Daphnia pulex: one gene and its partner. The protein of the gene in region 2 interacts with the protein of the main gene of each other region in a pairwise test. Links are inferred from orthologs where the notes say so. Each region holds a gene or a part of one and is shown on either strand. Other genes may lie near its edges.

Region 1 (10,270 bases), on a different chromosome or scaffold from region 2:
GGGAGTTGCCAACCCCCGAAAAAAATTGCGTTTCCCTAGCCCTAGCGGTTCAACTGCAAAAAAGGCCAAAGTGGCCTAATTTGCATAATGTCCTCTCGGCTTTCCAAAGACTTTTAGAACCGGCCCAAAGTACTTCAGGAAATGAAAACAAAAATCTGAAAAAAATCAGAGGTGTCCTCACTACCTCTAGCTATGTACATACCAAATTTGAAAGCATTTGGTTAAAAACTATAGTACTGAGAGGACTGCAAAAACAGCGTTTTTGCATAAGGTCCTCTCGGGCTTCCAAAGACTTTCGGTAGGTACTTTTTTGTTTTAATTCATTTGTTCTAGTGTCAGAATATCTTAATTACAATTTAGAATTTAGTAATTTTGACCACCGTTCTACTATCTTTCTTCTGGTAGCCTAGTAGTGGCACGAACCGAATAAAATTGTATTTAAAACTTTCTTAATCCAATTCTTAACCAATTAAATTGAAACTGTAATGTTTAATTACTCAAAATAATCCCATTATTGAACTTGTCTCGTTGTTCCGTAATTAGTTCTTCCATGCTGGGAAATATCAATCTCTATTTTTATTCAAATTTTCCTTTTTATTACATTTTAAGGGGATGTATAGTATTCTCAAGAAGGTATGGCCTAAAGACCGACTAATATTTGCCGACTTAGGGGTGCTTTAAATCTCTCCTACACGATGCGCGGTTCTGCACCGAACATAAAGGCGCATATGGGTTCTAAAGAAGATAGCAAATATCGATAAATGTCTATACAAGTAGTTCAAGTAACGTTCAGATGATGCACGGTTCAAGATAGTGCCCCTTCTATATAGAGAAAGAGATACACCACACCAACCACATCATAGGCATAATGGAACTTCCGAGTAGGATGAATTGTGAACATTAAAGCTCTCTGCTAGAGTTTTGGTGTAGGAGGTGATTCTGACGAAAAACTAGTAAAAAGGAAACAGGTTGCACGTTCAAGTTGCTTTCTCTGTTTTTTCCCCGGTTAAGTATGGGGGAATAAGCTCTATAAATAGGTTGAAATAAGGCCTAAACGCACCTAAAAGGGTCGACTGAAACAAGCAGAATCTCCGAGTCCGAGAGCGATAACTCGAATGGGCTTCTGTCGGCTATGGCAATTTTTAAGAGTAAGCCGGGGCAGACAGCAGGGCTGATGAGAAGTTTCAGGGAGATAACTGATAACTACACAATGTTGGTAGACCCTAAACTCCAAAGTAATAATATGAAACAGTGCCAGACCAGACTGCATTCCTCATAGCGAAAATAGCAAAACTTGAGACGACATCTGGCAGCATCATCTGGATGGATCAGACTGATGGATCAGAAACTGCTGTAGGCAACACAATTAAGTTTAGGTCTAAGTCTCACAAAAATAATGCCTGTCCGCCTGTTTTTATTTAAAAAAATCGAAAAATAAAAAAAAAACTCGCTCGAGACAGAAGGTACTCATCATAAGTGTTTGTCTCTAGTCCACATGCATATTCTCGCGAATGCATGTATCCTTATGTATGAGCGCACGCGCGCTTGAGAGTGTTTCGATGTTTACAGTCGATTTATCACATTGTTTAAGAAATGTGAGAAATTAAAAACAAAGGGAGGTATGAGCGCAAAAGAATAAACAAATATGTAAGGTAAAAGGAAAATCTTAAGTAGCCTATAATATCTCAGATACGTAACAAAGAAGATGTCGGAATTTTTCTATGCTATTTCTGAACAATCCTAGCCGTTTAAAGCATAAGATAGCTAAACATTAAAATAAAAAATAATAAATAAAAAAGCTGTTGTATAATTAGTAATTTTTTTCCTGTGTGATGTAGGCCTAAATAAAAGAAAGTATAGAAGAATTTAACCACAGTAGCAAGGAAACTAACCTCACTATAGTTTCATATTTTCATGTTTGAATCATCTTTGCAATTCAACAAAGTAAATAGAGCCATCTTTGCCTTAGCGCAGCAATACCGGAATAACCGTTCAAACTTACCCGAGCCTCAGACCTCCGGACAATGAGAAAAGTTGGTTAGTATAAAGGCTAGGTGGTTTGTACGATTTCACGCTCACGCCATCGGCTATACCGTGCTGTCATACCGTTTCTGTAGTGTGATGGACTGATAGAAGTTTGGTGGTTCTCGCAGCACCGCAGGCTACTGCTTGCTCGATCGATAAAGGTTAGCGTTAGCTGTTGCGGTAATTGGTACGTGTGATGGTTCGCTGTTGCTTCAGCTGGCTGTTGAATAGCTCAAGGACTGAGTTTTTTTTTCGGTTAATATTCTTTTCTGAAACAAGTTTACATTGCAGCAATGCACCATAAATGCGCAAATAGGCTGCAAATCCGAAATAGCGCCCAAGACTTAATATGTATGAAAATTGTAGAACGGCAAATATGATTTCAAAGCACAGGTCTAGGTTATTGGCGGTCTGCAAAGCAGTGCATTTGTTGACCCTACTAATCTTTCCGTAATGACATCAATGAAATCATCGTTTTTTTTATTTATTATTGCGATAAATATTGTGGATTCGGCTAACACGGCAAATATCATAATGCTACGCTTAATGAGAAATACTGAAATACGGCATGTATACGAATTTGAAATTCGAAGAACGTACGTTGTCTGAAGCCTGCGCCGTAACGCGGTATTTTATTTTGTTTTTATTTCGTGTACGTAATGCAGTATATTGCGAGTGAGCGAAAACAAGATCGCCATGCGCTGTTATAGCGACGATCTTGGTTGACGCTAGACGCCCTGCCATACAACATGGATTAAAGTGAATAAGAGTGAATAAGTCATCAAAAAGCAAGTAAAGAAAAAAAAAAACAAGTTTTGTCTCGAACTATACCCTTTGAAATGATTAACTGCAAGATGAAGCTCCAAAGTTACCACGGAAACAAGTAACTAAATTGGTTCAACTCCTTTCAGAACAAGAGTGAAACCGAGTGAAACTAATAGAGGAAAACTACAAAAGTAGTAGAACGCATTCAGTTAATTATGAGTGCTGTGCTGCTGCCTACTGGTTTTGTACGAAACGCTCTGCTGCAATCTACGTTTCAAAGAGAAAGAAATATTTGATTTCGAAAAAGAGCGTGCGGCTGAATGACTATAAATATCTTTCGGCGAAGAGAATCCCGCCTGTTCCACCTTATGGATGCCCGTTCCCGTATAGCACCGCCAGCGAAGAGCGGCGTGAAGTGCTGCCGACCGTCCCTTTGCTGTGACTTGTTCAAAAGACCAAGACTCTCTAAGGAAATTAATCCATTGCCAGCCAATGTACCATATATCCTTTTCTCTAAGCTCGATAGTACAATCGATCACGAATAAAGTAAGACGAGCGCATTGCAATCTCAATAAGACTAGCCTTCAAAGAGTCGCTGCCAGTCCGAGACAGCGGTTTTCTATAGATCTTATCTTGGTCAGTTTCTTACATCTTATATGTAGCCTATTCTCTTGTATCCTAAACGTAATTACTAATGTTTTGGCTTCTATGATTTTCAGTCACGCAATTGGTAATCAAGAATTATGTATGATTTTTGAATGCACATCAGTAATGTTTCAGTCAAATATCAGCACAGAAACCTACTGCACACAAAATAAATTTTCGATTTGGTAATGGGCTTAAGCTAAAGGGATCAAACTTCTGAGACTCCTTACGAAATCATAGTTCTATACATAGTGGTCTATGGGCAAACCTACGGCTGTAAATTGGTGTTAACTCCAATTCGCGAAATGCCATAAAATCGTCGGACGAAATTGGTGCAATATACCTGCTTACTGCAGGAAGCTCGACCTATTGCTCTTTCGTACTCGGCATGCGCTTCATCCCTGATAGCTTATTCGACTTCGTATATATAACCCAAGGATCAATGAGAAATCTTCCTTTTTCCCCGCTGCACACCAGATTCGGTGATTCGGTATGGTTGCGGGCGTAATAATATTACAAGACATGCAATATACATATAGAATTATATAGAACTTTCACACGAGTGCAGACTAGGCGTATATACACGTATATACGTAGACACAGACAGACGGGCGCTTGGATGTTAGATCTATATGAACTTCCATTTCGCCGGATTTCGCCACTCGGGCCGGCCCTTCGAGAAACTTGCCCATCGCCTAAATTTCGAATCGATGATAAATAATGTCCGTCACACAGCCTCATACTACCCGGAATATTGTCGACATGGCCATGACAAATCGAGGAAAAGCCCATCGGCTAGACTCCAAAAGGGAGGTGAACGAGAGAAAAGGAGGAGGCCTCCGACCAGCAGGTGAATGCTGGCACCAGCTGAATTATATAGGATGAGACGGTTCATCGTGGGCGTGTATATTGAACTGTGTTCTCTCGTCGGAAATGGCACGATGTCATTACACATAGGAGACCGAATGCATGCGAAAGTGCACAGCCGTACGTATATATCGACTCATGGTTTATGCCTATAGTGCTAAAGTATAGATATATATAGAAGCTTCTGCGTCTAGCGATTGCGTTTTCGCCTACCTGCGTGACGAGCGGTATGAGAGTTTGTTCGATACTCTTGGTGTGGATGCGAAGGCTGTGCAGCTCGGGCGGGCGAGGGCTGTGGCTGGCGAACGACAAACTATGGCCAGCCGAGGCATTATTGGACGAGGTCACGGCGGCGGCGGATAATAACGACGAGGATGATGATGTGGCAACAGAAGCAGCACTGGTGGCCGTTGCAGACGTGCAGGCCATTGAAGTTGCCATCGCTTTAACTAGCCAGTCCTCGAGTTCTCTGGCGTCTGCACGAATTCAACACACATAAATCCCTTTGTCGGACGATGACCGCATTCACTGTCCAACACTGGCCGTTGTTTAGCAAAGCGGCGCTACCACTTGAGCAGACAACGGTCGAACCCCAACTCGAACTCAAGTCGAACAGACAGCGCGATCCTTAACGATTGCACGTTCATCCTCTTCCGCTCCTTTTCCTCCCGCATCATCGGCGCCTATGTAGAGCCAGCCTATGGCCGATTCGTACAGGATTCCTGGTTCGATGCGCTCCAACTGGCTGGGACTACTCCCCCCTTATGACGTCAATCTTTAAATCAAATTCAACTCGCATCAGCTCCTAATAAGTAATAACTCACACGGTCAAACGTCGAATTTCTTCAGGTTGAATGTGCCAATCTCTTGTCGGGAGCTCCCAATGGCGCTGCTGCAACGTGATTTTCTCTGCGCCGTCCTTATATTGTACACGGGAGAATTTATAAGTCGTCGTCGGCTGTTTTCCCTTTCACTTTAGCATTTTTTTCCCGCTCCTTTTTTTGTGTACTTCCTTATTCATTTTTTTTCTCTATTGCTGACTCTTTTAGGCCTGTCTTTATCTGCTTGACTTTCCCGAGGTTTTTTTTTTCCCTTCCTCTTTGCCTGTATATCTCCTTACATGAGCGGTCACTCATTCGGAAGGGTGTCGTGTGTCTCGCCAGCTGGCGAATGTATAGAAAGAGGGCAGCACATGGTCTATCTATATATCGATCGGGACCGGTGGCACCCACCAGCAACAGCAATCCATAGTCCAGCTGATTGTCGGCTCGGCGTCTACAGACGTGAAGAATGCAGACGTGTGTGCGTAAGCTTACTGCACAGCAAGGATAAGTGTCCATCCACTTGGTGTATTGTCCCGTTTTCTTTGACCCGAGTGCTACTGCTTTAAGGAGCCGACAGATATAGGGTCGAGATGACCGCACCAGAAACAGAGCTAGAGAAACACAGCGCACATTCCGATACACATCACTTACGCAACCAAGGCACTCGATTTCACATGTAAATTCGCAAGTTTTCACTGAAATCATTAAAAAAACGTCAATAGATTAAACTTTTTCACTTGTCGATATCAGCTGACGTGAGAGAGGGGGAGGGGGGGGCACTGCTTTCCCTGCGATTGGATTACTGGCGGACGACCTCGAAATTAGGGTCGTTATAATTCAGTTTGGCATCAAAAGAATCTAGACACACCGCCTCTCTTCTCCCGTCGCGTAGACGATCCGTCCCTCCATCATCATGCGCACTCACCAAGGAATTCCTCATCTGGCTCTTTCTCTTTTTCTCTGCATTGTGTCACTGCTGTCGCCCTGTCGTCAGATGCCTAACTCACAAGATATAGTTTCGAAATTCAATCAGAGTTATTGCGGAGAAAACCAATAGTCCAAACTTCCAGCAACAGCGTGCTATACAGCGTTTCTACAGCCAGCAGCAACCCAACATCACACTCTACTGATTCTACACACCACAGGAGCAGTCAATGTCGGCTATTAGTTTCCCAGCCGAAGGTGCTGGATTTCTCGTTTGTTGTTGTCGCACTGGAAGACGACACACGCGTGGCGGCTCCTACTAGGCGTCTAGAGGTACTAAGGCGTTCAACACTTTGCTGGATAGTTTTTCTCGAGTCTCGGCCGACTGTCTCCTGCCGACGGTTTGTTTTTGATTTGTGTAGTGCCGGGCTTTTTTCTTGCTGTGCGTTGGCCTCTTCTCTCTCTCTCTCTCTCTTCTCTCTGCGCGACTTTGTCTTGCCTTTTGTTATTGTTGTCCTTGTTGTTTCCTTGGGGCTTCCTTTTCTCGCTTTCTGGCCTTTCCCGAAATACCCAGCTCGATAAAGGAATGAACCACAGCACTGCTGGTGTCGGGAGAAGGAGCTTTGGCACGTTCCTGCGGCCGGCCGCTTTCACCGCCACTTTCGACGGAAACTCGACGCCGAATGAGCAACATCAAGCCCCTGGCAGTGCCGTATATCCCTCCTGATGTATACTGATGAAGCAGTGTGGTAGCAGCGGCACTAGTAGCCTAGTAGCACTCGTCGCAGCAGCAGCCCAGCCCAAACAAACGTCGAAGCAGCACAGCACGCAGCGACTGACGACGACGACTTCGGTGACAGTCTCTCTCTATACTGATCTCCACTCACGACCGCTCACGACGAGTTTCCCAGTTCTGACGCTCTTCCTTCTCCACAGAAGCCAGTCATGGTTCCTCGTCCTCTGCAGCTGCTCTAAGTCTCTTCAACTCTGCTACGAACGAAAAAAAAAATGAAAAATAAAATAAAAACGAAAAAAAAAAGAAAAAGAGAGAAAGAGAGAGAGAGCCAGTCGGTTTGGCGTTCAATGCATGTTTTGGTCCTTCTCCTCAGACATTCCCGTTCGTACAACTCCCACCGATTCTCCCTCCCCACACCTTGTCCTCCTCCCACCCAGCCCCCTTTGATTCCTCCTCTTTTTGGCTTCCTTGATAATGGCAAAGTATTTTTCCCATTCTTTTTTAGGAGAGAAGAGTGGGTGGAATGGGAGAGGGGGGCCGGGTGTCGGGATCGCGGGAGTTGGAAGAGTTTGGATTTGGGAGGTTGGTTGGTTGGTTGGATGGTTGGAAGAGAGAAATTTTTCTTTTAGGTTTCTTCTCTTGTGTACATTACACACGCCCACGTCGTTCTCATGACGAGTCGAGTCCTATGGCCCGTCTCTTTTTCTCTTCAGCTGCCTCTCTCTCTCTTTCTTCCACTGATGCACGCGGGAAAAAAAAGAGAAGAGTGAGAGAGAGAGAGTCGCATATGTACATGTACAATATGCCGGGGCCGAGCAAAACTCGCTTTATGTATTTGATGCTATTTTAGCCTGGGCACGGGCGTTGAACGAACGACGACGTGCAGCCACTCCATCTAGCCAGCTTCGCAAAGCCGAGCGTGAACTCGTATTAGCTCCCGCTTCTGGTTTCGCCTCTTATCTTAGTCAGACACTGTTGCCTACTGTACATCTCTCTCTCTCTCTCTCTCCTCCCAAACCTCCCTCCTCAAGTCATACGAATGAATAGCCCAGCCCTCTTGATCTAAATATGTATACCATTGTGTGCGGTTATGGAGCCAATATTCTTATGGTTCACAAATCGCACCGAAGATTCTCGCCTGTATACCCTTTTGGAATCCCCCCCCCCACCGCCATCATCAATAAACGTTACAAATAATAATACAAAAAAGTCTTACTACTCATGAACTATAATTCATTGAAAACCCCTTTCTTCTAATTAGGTTGGCGTCCTGCGTATATGGAGAGACATCCGTTATGGTATATTTGTTCTGCATTACCATTTGAGATATCATGCTGCATCTCGAGTCTCGAGTCTGACAGTCGCTCTGCTCTGCTGTACCATCGTAAGTTACAGGCAGGCGCAAACTGCAGCCTAGTCGACTCATCTGCAACTCTCAACTTTGTTTCAGAGCGAGAAATCAAATAACGTCCTACATAACTTGAATTCAATTCCTGGGAAAAGCTCCATTACATAGAAACTTAGTAATTGGTGTAATTATACGGATTCAAGTGTAAATAGCGTTACAAAATAGTTATTCACTTAGTTCAAATATTATGTGGGCAAGAAATTATCGAAAGATTCGCTCTCTAAAAGTTTTGGCGAAGACTGGAGACACGACCGACTGATTTAGTCGTAAAAATGGGAAGCTTATACTGGTATACTCACCTTTCCGACTTCCAGTTTAAGGGTTAATACGACGCAACACTTTATTTCCGCATAAATTTCCACGTCTGTGTAAGACCTGCTTCGTTTTATTTACCCTCTCTTATTTTCCCTTTCTACGAGATTTCGAGGAAACTCTTAAAAAAAGGAAGACGCAAAATACATTTTGGTGAACACATTTACACTAAGAAATCCATGATCGAAATTGGCTTATTATTTGGTATATTCCGTGTTGACGTAAATTATGACGCATATCGCAAACCATGCTCAGTACAGCAGGGAATCCCTTGGTTCCTTTTCTTCGCATTACTGCTTATAGTGCTTGCTGTGAAGCTCTCGAACCAAAATAGAATCCAAACGAAACTATATAAGAGTCTGATGTTGCATGTGTGTGTTTTATCTAGCTTCAAAAAAAGGCGGGCCTTGCCTCGTTGTCGGGCTTTCTCATTTCCCTGACTTATTCTTGTCCTCTTCAACCAGCTAGTTGAAGAGAATGAATAGCAGACGCGTCAAACATAAGAGTTGTGTAGTTACATATTAAGCTGGTAAATATAGAGGTGTTTGGGTTTTCAAATATTTTCCAAGCCCCGGGAAAATATAGCGAGAAGCGATATGTGTTGCTGGTCTGTTTGATCGATATCAACTTATTATATAACTACAAATTATAAATATGTTGAAAATACAAAAAATTTGCGAATTTTTTCGTTAGGTGTAAAATCCTTTTTTGTCAAGACGATGATTTTTGTTATCAAAAGTTAGTGTAATAGGGTTTTACGCTACGTTGGTGTCCTGATGAGAAAAAAAATCAACCGATCCGTTATAACGAGATCGCTTTCTTTCTAATATTTATTAAATTTATATAAGTTTCCGAAATTTTCACAGAAAAAAGCAGGCGACCATTTTCCCCAAATACACTTTGACACCTCCCATTATAACCAGTGTTTGCTGAATCACGATTTTTTTGATTTATGAATCAAAATCATAAATCATTTTTTAGAAATTTTAGATGAATCAAAAATTAAATCAATAATCAAATAAATTTTTGATTTAATTTATAAATTAGGGATCCGGATACAAGTAATTATTTTCACTAGTAAATATGGTATCAAGCTCTTTCAAAATTTTGTTTTATTGAAATTAAGGACACAAGTATTTTTGTTCTTAAGTAATTATGGACTGTTGTATTTAAAATTTTTAATAATTCGGGCTTTAAGTAATTCATGCAACGTGTATTTAGTCAAATACTCGCTAGTAATTATGGTCACCAGTTATTAAAATTATGTTCACAAATAATAGGTTCTATTAGTACAATTGTTCGTAAGTCACTAGCAATGACTTAAGTAATTATATTCTTAAGTAATTGTTCTCTTAAGAAATTATTTTCTTAAGTAATTATTCTCACAAGTAACTATTTTCTTAAGTAATTATTATCTTATGTATTTACACGGTGTAAACACTTTTATTATTTTGTATTTAGAGAATTAAAGTGAAACGTCATTTATTGATTGCGTTATTGCGTAGGTTCAGGTTGCGTACAAACTTTTACGCGTTTGCAGGTTTAAGAACGCGCCTGGAAATTACATCAACAGTTTCGAGTTGTCTGCTTGTAACTTGTCAGTTTGTTTTTTTCCAAAAGTCAGACAAGAGTTAATTGCTGGTTAATTGAGTCTCAAAAGTGAAAATAGGCGTTGTTTGTGAAAAATATTTTGTCTTGGGTAACATATTCTCTTTCTTTATAAGTAGACGTAAGATAACATTTATGTTGATAACAAAATGTTTG
Region 2 (10,270 bases):
AATCAAAAAAAGGACCACCCGGGACAAGTGTCACTGTTGTTGTTGTTGTCGATGGAATTCGATTGAAACACACACACACACTACACACCCATACACACACGTCCACAGCACACAACACACGCAGCAGCACTAGTCTAACTGGGATTAGATATAGAGGGCAGTTCCGACTCTCTCTCATACACACACTCACACACACACACACACAACACTCGAATTCACTTCTCAACCCCCACGGTCAAGTCATGTTGTTGTTGTTGTCTGTCAAAAATGTTGAGACCCAGGGCGAAACAACCGAGAAATAAGAAGTTGAAAACAAAACGAAACCAAACCAAAAAAACCACCAAAATTTCTTCTCCGGGAGTTTTAAGTGTTCGTGTTGGACTGACTCGGGCAGAGACGAAAAAGAAACGCGAACGGACGGGAGTGAGAAGGAGAGAGAGAGAAGAGAGAAACACGCACAAAATGGCCGCGTCTAATGTTGAATGTGTTGTCTGTTGTGAGAAAGGAGCGCTGCTTCGTGAGCAACGGACCGGACTCACGACAAACAAACTCACGAATGGCGACCTTTTAGACGAAAGGAAAGAGAAGAGGCGGGCAGAGCCACAGCGGCAGCAGCAGCTAGCCAACATGCACCAGTCCCGAAAATCTCCCCCCCTCTCGACGCCAACGCAGTGACATCTGGCGCTTGAGAAAAACAACTTTTCACGCCCCACCAACGACACACGAAATCTTTTTTTCTTTCTTTTCTATTTTTTCACGCTCGTAGTCGGAGAAGGACCACGACCTTGGGAAAAAGGAAATAATATTCATCACACACATTGTGTTACCCACCACCCCCACCACCCCCACCCCAACCACCTCCTCCCGCAAAAAAAATGAAAAACGGGACCACCTTTTCGGATGAAATAAAAATCGATATCTTATATAGAGAGACATGTAAATCCGGGAATGTGTGTGTGTGTCTTTTGTATACGCACAAGACGCCGTTCCGTGTCGATGATTTCACGAAGTAAAAAAAACGAACGAACGAACGAAAAAAAGCGGCGTAATACACACACAGACGCGACCTGGAGAGAAAAAGAGAGAGAGAGCCCCGGAGCGGTTGGACGCGGTCGAGTGATGGAGAGTTATTTTTTCGCCATTATCATGTTCTTTCGTCTTCTTCTTCTTTTACGTATTTTTATATTTCACTTGGAATAACAATGAAGGAAGGAGTAAAGGAAAAAAAGAAAAAGGATGAGCCAAAAAAATTCAAATCAGTTTTTTTTTTCTTTCTTTCTCCTTTTCGTTTCATTCCGTGTGTTCCCAAACCGAACGAACGAACGAACGGGAGAAAGAGAGAGAGAGAAGAGAGTTCACAGACCGGAAAAAAGCCTTAGGCGATTTTTTCTTTTTAGTTTTTTTTTCACGTTCTTTTTCTTCTTCACATTCGTCCAACATTTCAACTAGTCTTCCTTCGTTTCGCCTTCCGTGTGTGGTGCATGTGTGGGCCCTTCCTCGATTGGTTACACGAGAAATGTTTCCCCTTTTCCCCCCAGAAAAAAACAAACAAACAAAACAAAACGAGAAAAAATCATTTTTCTGTTGGTTTTGTTTTTCTTTTCTTTCTATGGACTGACAAAAAATAAAAGGAGTTGACTGATCGGCCATGACAATGGAACGTTGACATTCCATTTCCAAAAAAAAAAAAGAGAAAAATTTAGGAATGTCTAGCTCTCTAGTACAGTATAAACACAAGAGATAAAAAACCTGTTTCTACTTCCATGTTAATGAGCCCCATTTTATTGAGAGAATCTGAACATTTCCGAATTCCCTCGCCTGTTCTAAATTTGGTTTTGTTTTTTTTCAATTCCTTTACGAGTCATCGAGTTGTGTGTGTGTGTTAGTAACAGCGATTTCCGGTTAGAAAAAGGAATATAAAAATGGAGAGGAAGTGTTTCTGGGGGGGTTTTTGTCTTTTTTCTTACATTGCTGAAGGGTTCGGCACTATTGGCCCGGCTGGACGGAGTTGTTGAAGAAGAAGAAGCAGCAGCGAGCGACGTAGCCACCATGACCAGACCTCCTTCACCGCCGGAAGTGTTACTGCGGTTGATGGCCGTCCGGTGTTGTTGTTGTTGTTGGTGGCCGGCAGCCGCTGCTGCTGCTGCTGCTGATGGAAGATGATTCGAACCACCTGCTGGAGTTCTCTGGGCGACGACACGGTTGGACGACGATTTTTCACTGGTGGCTGCTGCTGCTGCTGCCGCCAAAGAGTCGGATGAACTCATATCAGTCGTTGCTTCCTTCTACAGAAAAGAAAATAAAGAAAAAGATTGAATGAGAGATTTAATTTTCGCCCAAAACAATTTGGATGGCATACCAAATGCGAGGAGGAGGATAACGTATCCAGGGATAAGGGATCAGCAACGGGGGGCGTGTCGATAGAGTGGGCGTCCACTTGGACAGATTGACTCATGACGTTTCTTGAGTCTCCACAGATGACTGACGGATGGTAGGGGGGAGGTGGAATGAGTTGGTGGGTGATGGAATAAAAAAAAAGGACGAAAAAGAGTTTTGTCGGGATTCACCAAAACGCCATAGTTCTTCGTCCTCTCACGTCCACTCCAGGTGGGAAATCCCACGTATGTGTGCACTTTCCGTTCTTCCGGCTCTTCTCCTTTTCAACTTTTTTTCTCTCAAGCTGGTCGACGAACCTCGTGCGTTTCTTTTTATAACTTTTTTTTTCTTTCGGACGGCGTCGAACTGGCGACGCACCAGGAAACAAGCCCCACACGCACGTGTCACTGTGTAGCTCTGGTAATTGGGTGTGGACGAAGCTGTCACACAAAATGCCAACCTGCTGGCGTTCCAGTGCTGCAGGGGCACACTCCAGTCAAATCGCAGTCTCACACAACAACAACAACCGCAGGCAGACTCTCACCAGGCTCTCGTGTTCATCTGCACACTTGGGATGGCCACACCAACGATGAGTTGTGATGTTGCAGATTTTGAGGCTGACTGACCGGCAGGGCAGGACACACAGGCACTAATTGGAAGTTGTTTGGGGAGTCGTCAGAACATGGACAGACGCACAACCAATGAGTCTCTCTGCAGCAGGAACAACTAAAAAGATAAAAAAAGACAATAAAACAAGAAGGAAATGAACACACCAATTGTCTAAATGGAATCGTCTGGCTGATCCAACCTGCTTTCAGGTTTCAAAGCAGATGAATGGCTTGATCTATTCGCTTTTGCACATCGACACAACTGCCAGCATTGGCATCCGTTTTCGATCGAACCGACACACTCGACGTCGACAACATTGACATGAAAACACGACAATTTTCAGAGCAAGTCTTCTTTTTTTGAAAGACACTGAATACACTGACAGTTTGGACAACACACACACAGCACCAAAGTGGGTGGGAACACACGTAGGTCCCGGTTTCCCCCTTAAGCTGTGTGCAACACACACACTCTACACACTGGTGTGTGTGTACGAAGAACTTTTGGGGTGAAGAAAAAGGGGGGAAAAAATCTAGTCAACTGGCCCACCGAGTTCTTCTCACCGAATGTGGGCCTACATAAACAAATCCTTTAGAGATTTTATTTTTATTTCGGCAGCGGAAATGGGCTCGAGTGTGTGTGTGTGCTAGATTGCACACATTCGTTGTGTGTGTGTGTGTAAATATACTGTTTGTGGGGTGGGGGGGAGAGGCGGGGACGGGTGACTTTGAGGCGGAAAAGGCTTTGAGAAAGAAACAACAAACATGCGCAAGAGACATCTAGCGGTGGTTTATAAAACTACGTCGACTTGGTTATTTCCCGCTGCACTTTTCGAACGCTATCTGTTTAGATTTTTATATGTGATTTCATGATTTGAAAGTTTTGCATGCGTTGCTTTGGCAACCTGAACTTTTATTAGAAGAACGAATATTTGGCAAGGACATCGAAATACATTTCGGATAACCGAATTAAAATAAATCCCCCCCCCCCAAAAAAAAACCCTTATTTCTTTGTAACGTCAATTAATAGACCTAAAAACTGAATGACTAAAATTAATCCGGGAATTATTTCTTACCTCGTTAAATCAATTAAATTTTGAAAAGTTTTCTGAACGGTAGATGGCGCAGGAATCGTGGCTGATTTCCCAACCGAAACGACAACAACAAAAAATGAGGAATCCACTTAAGGAATTTTTCCCCCGACACACACACACTCTTCTTGCTATTTCAAATCAGCAGCAATCTAATCTCGGTGATTAGAGAAATTCCAAAGGCAACAAAGTCGAACTGGAGAGAAAGAGAGCTAGTAGGAAACGAGAGCAATTTCTCATCTCAGTGTTGCGATCACAGAAACCTCCTAAAAAAAAAATACTTTGACTTCAATGACCCCCCTATCTATTCCGACACGCGTTCTATTATGTAGTTAATTATTTTTTAACGAATAAGGAAACAAGGAAAATAATGGGAGGCCCTTAGATTCTTCTGGTACTCGTCTGCTGTGAATGGACCAGTAATTCGGATTGCTAAACTCTCTGTTAATGAAAGCTGCATAATCGTCCGTAACGAGCCGGAGGGGGTGGGGGCACGGACTCCGGCATGTACTTGTCTCTTGTTGTCCAGCAGTCTAGCAGCTTGCCTCCAAATATTGATACGGAGAGCATCCGATAGCGTGCCTTAATTAATCTAAGTGTATTTCTAAGTTGGGTGTGCGTGTTCCCCCCTCTGTTTTACATGTCTCCCCCCCCCCCCCATATTAAGTGGATTGGGCCAATTAAATATGCAGTGCATTGATGACATCCATTATCATCGAATGCGGAACTAATTCCATCGGACACAGCCGCCAATCGAGTTTTGAAGTCGACAACTTTCAATAAGAAATGACCATGGCCCATCAATAGTATCGATCGGCATGTGTGCATAGATTCTAATGATCTAATGAATTGGTGGAATTAAAATGAAAGTCGAAGCGTTTTTCTCCGACTTTGACTACGTCGTCGGACCGAGTTTCTCGACACAGTCGATTGACAATACCAGGAAATGAAGAAGAGAGAATAGAAAATAAAAGTCAACTTATTGATCGACATGGCGTTGTGTGTTTTCAGCGACCTGGTCTACACACACACACACATATACTTTATACGTCACTGCGTCAGTCATTGAAATTATTGATCGACTCCTCGGTCCGCGGGACGCAACTGCTCCTGCTGGGAGAAGGACTCACCAAGTTTCTCTGTATATTATATGATCCAAAACATGACAAAATGTTAGATCCTTTCAATCAAGTCCGTTAGATGGATCTGCCAGTTGCCATCTCTCTCCTTTTTCTGCTCCCACCAACTTATATACCAAAAAGCTACCAGCGTGAAAGCTGAAAGAAAAGAAAAAAAGAACTTCACGTTCTAGTGTGCTGTGTGCCAGCCCAGGGACAAAGAAAAAAAAAAAAAAGTCCTGGGCAAAATACAAAAAAGAAAAGAAAAAGAAAAGAGAAGCCAGCAAAGCTACAAGAAGTTTTGGCCGGGTCTCGGCTGCTTGTGCCGAGAGAGTCTAGAGTCTAGAGTAGTAGTAGTATAGTAGTAGTAGTCGTCTATATAGTATATATAACATGTACAAGGGTTGAACTTCTTTCTCTTCGGGACCAATCGGGCCAGGCAGGGCTCCAGCCTATAAGATAACGGAACGCGGGAGTCAAAAGGGGTGGGATGGTAAGGACCCACCCACCTCCCGGTTTCCTCCCGGTTTCCTCCTATTTGCCCTCTCTCTGATGGGCACGGCGCGGAGATATTGAGCGCGGCCATGGTTGGGAACGGACGTGCGCGATCCCGGTGCGGCGGCGATGCGCGTCAGCCTGGCGACGGCGACGACGACGACGTCGAGCGGTGAGGAGATCCTTGGGTGTTTTTTTCCGCTCGCGGCTGCTCCTCACTCGACAAGTGCCGACTGCCACCGCCGGATCTTTTTCTGAGGTTGGCCGTCGCCCCCCTCGCGTTGCGTTCCCGATGTGCGGCTTCAGTGCAGTGCGAATTATTGGAACGCAGCAGTTGGTGAGAGCGACACACAAGACGAAGGAAAACGGCGGCAGCAGCGGCCGATCAAGTGGACATTATTCGCCTTGTTCCGTCCTACTCACCTACGGCCCAGCATTGTCGACGGTGCCGTCGCAACCAATCAGACAAGTGAGAAATCGACCGAGACCACATCATCAGCTGGACGTGATCGTTGCAATCCGTCGTAACAGTTTCGCCCTGTAGCTGCCGCCGATCCTCCCCCCCCCCCCCATTCAGCCCCCCCTTTTTTTGATTCCGGTGACGGCCAAGCTTCAACAAGAGCAGCCGTAGTCACGGGCTATAGGGCTGGGGGTTCCGGAAATTTTTTTTTTATTATATTTTTTTTTTTTTATTTGAAGTGAAAAATCCTATCGAAAAAAAAAAATTTGTGTTTGGGTTCAACTTTCCTGGAATTTTTTTTTTTTTTTTTAGTTTTTTTTAGTTTTTTTTTTAATTGAATTTGAATTTGGAAAAAGTCAAGTCAAATTTTTCAAAGTGGAGTTCACGCAAGATCAGCACGACCAACCGGACCACCACCACTTCGTCAGCCATCACCACACGAACCCACACCACAAGATGTCGGACGACGGCAAAGGTTACGTCCTCTCGCCGGAGGAGGAGGAATGCCTCAAGGACCGCAAGTGGTGGTGCTTCCTCCTGTCCAGCATCTTCACCTTCCTGGCCGGCCTCACGATCGTCCTCATCTGGCGCGGCCTGTCCATGATCTGCTGCCGTAAAGACGCTTCGCCCGAGTACAGCCAGAGTGACCTCAAGCAGCAGAACCTGCCCAAACCGCCGCGCCAAGCCAAGGAGGAGTTCGAAGGCACTTTCGTCACCGACGCCAAGGACTGGGCCGGCGAGCTCATCTCCGGACAGACCACCACTGGACGCATCCTGGTGAGTTTCTATCCATCCATCCAATCAAATAGATTCCATCAAATATAAGCCTATGATACAAACTATATTATACATGCGGAAATCATTTCGATGGGCTAAAGAAACGCGTGACTACTGCGATGGGTAGGGGGTCGATAGCGTGTCAAGGTAGTAGAGACGGCCAACTGTGTCGTCGGTGGTGGCCCATTGTCTTTGGCGTATAGATGAGGTCACGCGTCACGAGCACATCAGAGGGCAGACGAAAAAGCCCACTTGAATTCCCAGCGCTTTTCTCAGCATCAAATCCCGGCCACAGCAGAGATCGTGCTGGCGAATTATAGAAAATAAGGAGACCGACAAACCTTGTGTGTGTGTGCACAGCAGCAGCACAGCCAATATGTGTGTGTGAATGGAAAATCTAAGCACACAGCCAGTGGTGGTGGTGGTCGTGTATAGTAGGCCAAATAGTTTGGCTGATGAGGCAACCCGAGAATATATCCTCATCACACAGCACACACATCAGACCCATCACAAATATACAAAGAAAAATAAATCATCAATACACACACCAAGTTGTACAAGTCGCATTTGTTTTTGTTGATCTAAGAAATCAAGAAAAGAGCTATAGGGAAAATATATATCTAGGGGAAAAAACAGCATCCCAGGAAGATGTGGAGCACATCACAGCTCTAGAGCTCTCTCTCACCGAGTTGTGTATATTTCTTATTGATCGCCAGCCGGATCGATAATTCGTCTCTCTCTTGCCCGTGCGTTGCAACTCGCTGTGTGTCTGTGCTCAAGCTATAGAGATGCATGCGCCTGCTGGTGTGCTGGACTCGCTCTCTCCTCTCTTCTCTCTGTGTAATGTCTAATGTGTGCACGGGTCGGCCACAGTACCCCCCTCTAGATGTGAATTCATTCAAAAGAAAAAAGCCTAAAAGTGGATAGAATTTCGCTCGTCGGCCTTTCCATCATCTTGCAGCAGCAGTCTGGAGAAGAAGAAGAATTCTTGTCGAGGGATTTATTTGAGTAGTATTGGCACCTTCGTTGCTGGATGAGGGGCTTCTTCTTCTTTTGACTTTTCCCTTTTTTTGGAGGGGGGTCGTTGAGACGATGTGCGTTCTCTCCTTGTGCTGTGCGTTTAGTTTTATAGTTTCTCCCCTTTAGAGTATATAGACTCTATGTGTGGTGTGTCCCAATCAATACTGCGTCAGCTGTTTTACACACACACAGCACAGCACCAGCACATAAAACGCGTAGAGAGAGAGAGAGCTGGTTCCCGCCGTTATATACACATCGAGTCCGAAACGGGTGGCAAAATAAGAGACGAAAAATCATCGATAGCCGGGCGCTCAATATATAACGACGAAGAAACCAAACAAAACGGACACGGCGCGGGGCAATAATCAATGAAACTCTCTCTACAAAAAAAAGGTTTCCCCTCCAAAAAAGAAAAGGAAAAATATTTTTTTTTAGTTCCCATAATTTTCTCGGCAGCGCAAATTCAATTGAACACGAAGAAGAAGGAAGTTGCGATCTTAAAAAAAATAAAAATGGCGCCAGCCTATAGTGTCTGGCAATGAAATCAAGGAGCAGAGAAGACGCGCGAATATAAAAATGCCTAGCGCTTATTATTTCTCTCTCCTTCGAGTGTCGAATCAAATATCTAGATAGCTTTCCCCCCCCCCCTTTTTTTCCCCTCACTTTTCAACGTCTTTGATCTTTCTGTAAAGGCCCCAAAAATCCCCCCTTAACGATTTCGTATGATGTATCGCTATAGACTTAAATATAGGCCTCGATAGATATCCTACCAATAGTCTATTATTATTACATATTATATATGAAATCCAAGCCACATTTCCCCGCAAGTCTAAATGCCTATACATACTCTATATTACTGAATGGCGAAAATGATTACCGGTAGAAATTCCGGCATCTTCCCATCAAATCAGCTCGCACCACTCTGTCTCTTTTATATAAGTGACTCAAAGTTTATAGTCAAAAGCCTTTTTGTCATATAGAAAATAGCTTCTGATTATTATTGCTGTCAATTTTATGTATATTATTTCGACCCGGCGCTATGTATGTATGAGACACACACACACACAGAGAGAGCCCAACGGCCAGCATAGGCCAGCGCCAAAGAGAGAGAAAAGCGGTCGCGTCTGTGGGCCGCAAGCGCGACATCGATTGATCCGCGCGCGCCCAGCCCCGCCAGCGCATCTCCAGCAGCAGCACACACCGCTGCTGCCAGCACTGCTGCCGCGTCTGTTATATTATATCCTATACCGTTGGAAAAACGACGCGCAGCACGCGCGGAATCTTGTGCAACATTTTGCCGGGCTACGCGCAGCAGGAAAACAAAAAAGAGGCGGAGTGTATAATAGTAGTACAAGTGATGTGCTGGGCTGGCTGGCTGCCGGCCACAGCACAGTCCATATACTACTGCTGCCTACACGACGAACATGTAATAATAATCAAAAGAAATAGAAAGCTATAGGTCAATGCCGTCTCTCTATATAGCTATACATATACACTAAATACACGCGGTCGCCAAGACAACTGATGCCTTGGGCGGATCAAGAAATAATCAAAAAAATAAAAACAGCACACACAAGAGATTATATGTTGATCAAGTCTTTTCGGCGAGGTTGGGGGGGTTCGCCATAAGTCTATATACATTTGACGCGGTCGTGCTGATGTCTTGGCAGGAAGTGATGTAAGCATTTGTTAAGACTCTTTCCGCTGCTGTTATATAGCCAAGAGACTTGGGGGGGTATATAGGGCTTCGTCTGTGTCTATTATAATCTGGTGGCCAGAGTACTACTTTGATGCCGGGCATGCGGCACGGCATGTGGGCCAGCCAGTTGTGACTATATAGTCATCTATTGGAGTATATGTATATATATATTCGGGCACAATTTTGATATGTGTGGTGTGCTGCGGGGAAAACGAAGAAGAAGCCGTGTGTGCTGGATGTAGTCGACAGCAGGAGCCAGCGCAGCAGGGATGTATAGGCGGCCGGCCGTTATGAAATGCAGCACCAATCAATACCGCATATATAGTATACAGCCCGTCTGTGCGCAGCGCTCTCCGCTGCTGTCCTCCAAGAGCTGCTGCTGCTATGTATCCTATATCTAGGACTCTCCTACTTCCTCTAGATATTCGACATGTCATCGGTCGAGTGTGCTGTGGGCCGTCCAGCCTATAGAGAAAGAGTAGGATACATCAGCCAGTCGATCGTCCTCTTGGCACACGCCAACGTTCAACGTGTGCCACGTATAGATACTTTATGGTATAGAGCTGAATATTTCTGTCGATCGTTGAGACTATATAGATGTCCTTACATATATATGTGAACGAGCT

The links. The genes of interacting proteins can lie anywhere in the genome.
Region 1: the proteins of calcium-activated potassium channel slowpoke-like (region 2) and alpha-catulin-like interact in a two-hybrid assay, tested with the Caenorhabditis elegans proteins (2 studies listed by BioGRID, with this or other methods). The link is inferred for Daphnia pulex from reciprocal best matches to the Caenorhabditis elegans genes slo-1 and ctn-1.

What each region holds. Positions count from the first base shown.
Region 1 is NC_060018.1:8,602,888-8,613,157, forward strand, and holds the start of alpha-catulin-like, read right to left. Parts: upstream 7,010-10,270; 5' UTR 5,127-7,009; exon of another isoform or gene 5,064-5,126; 5' UTR 4,744-5,063; coding exon 4,516-4,743; intron 1-4,515. UniProt on the Caenorhabditis elegans protein: Required for slo-1 potassium ion channel clustering at presynaptic terminals and in egg-laying muscles; clustering of slo-1 mediates the intoxicating and sedatory effects of ethanol on worms.
Region 2 is NC_060025.1:7,405,175-7,415,444, reverse strand, and holds the start of calcium-activated potassium channel slowpoke-like, read left to right. Parts: upstream 1-5,770; 5' UTR 5,771-6,604; coding exon 6,605-6,925; intron 6,926-10,270. Other genes in the region: protein alan shepard-like, read right to left, coding at 1,968-2,285, 2,360-2,455. UniProt on the Caenorhabditis elegans protein: Potassium channel activated by both membrane depolarization or increase in cytosolic Ca(2+) that mediates export of K(+). Its activation dampens the excitatory events that elevate the cytosolic Ca(2+) concentration and/or depolarize the cell membrane.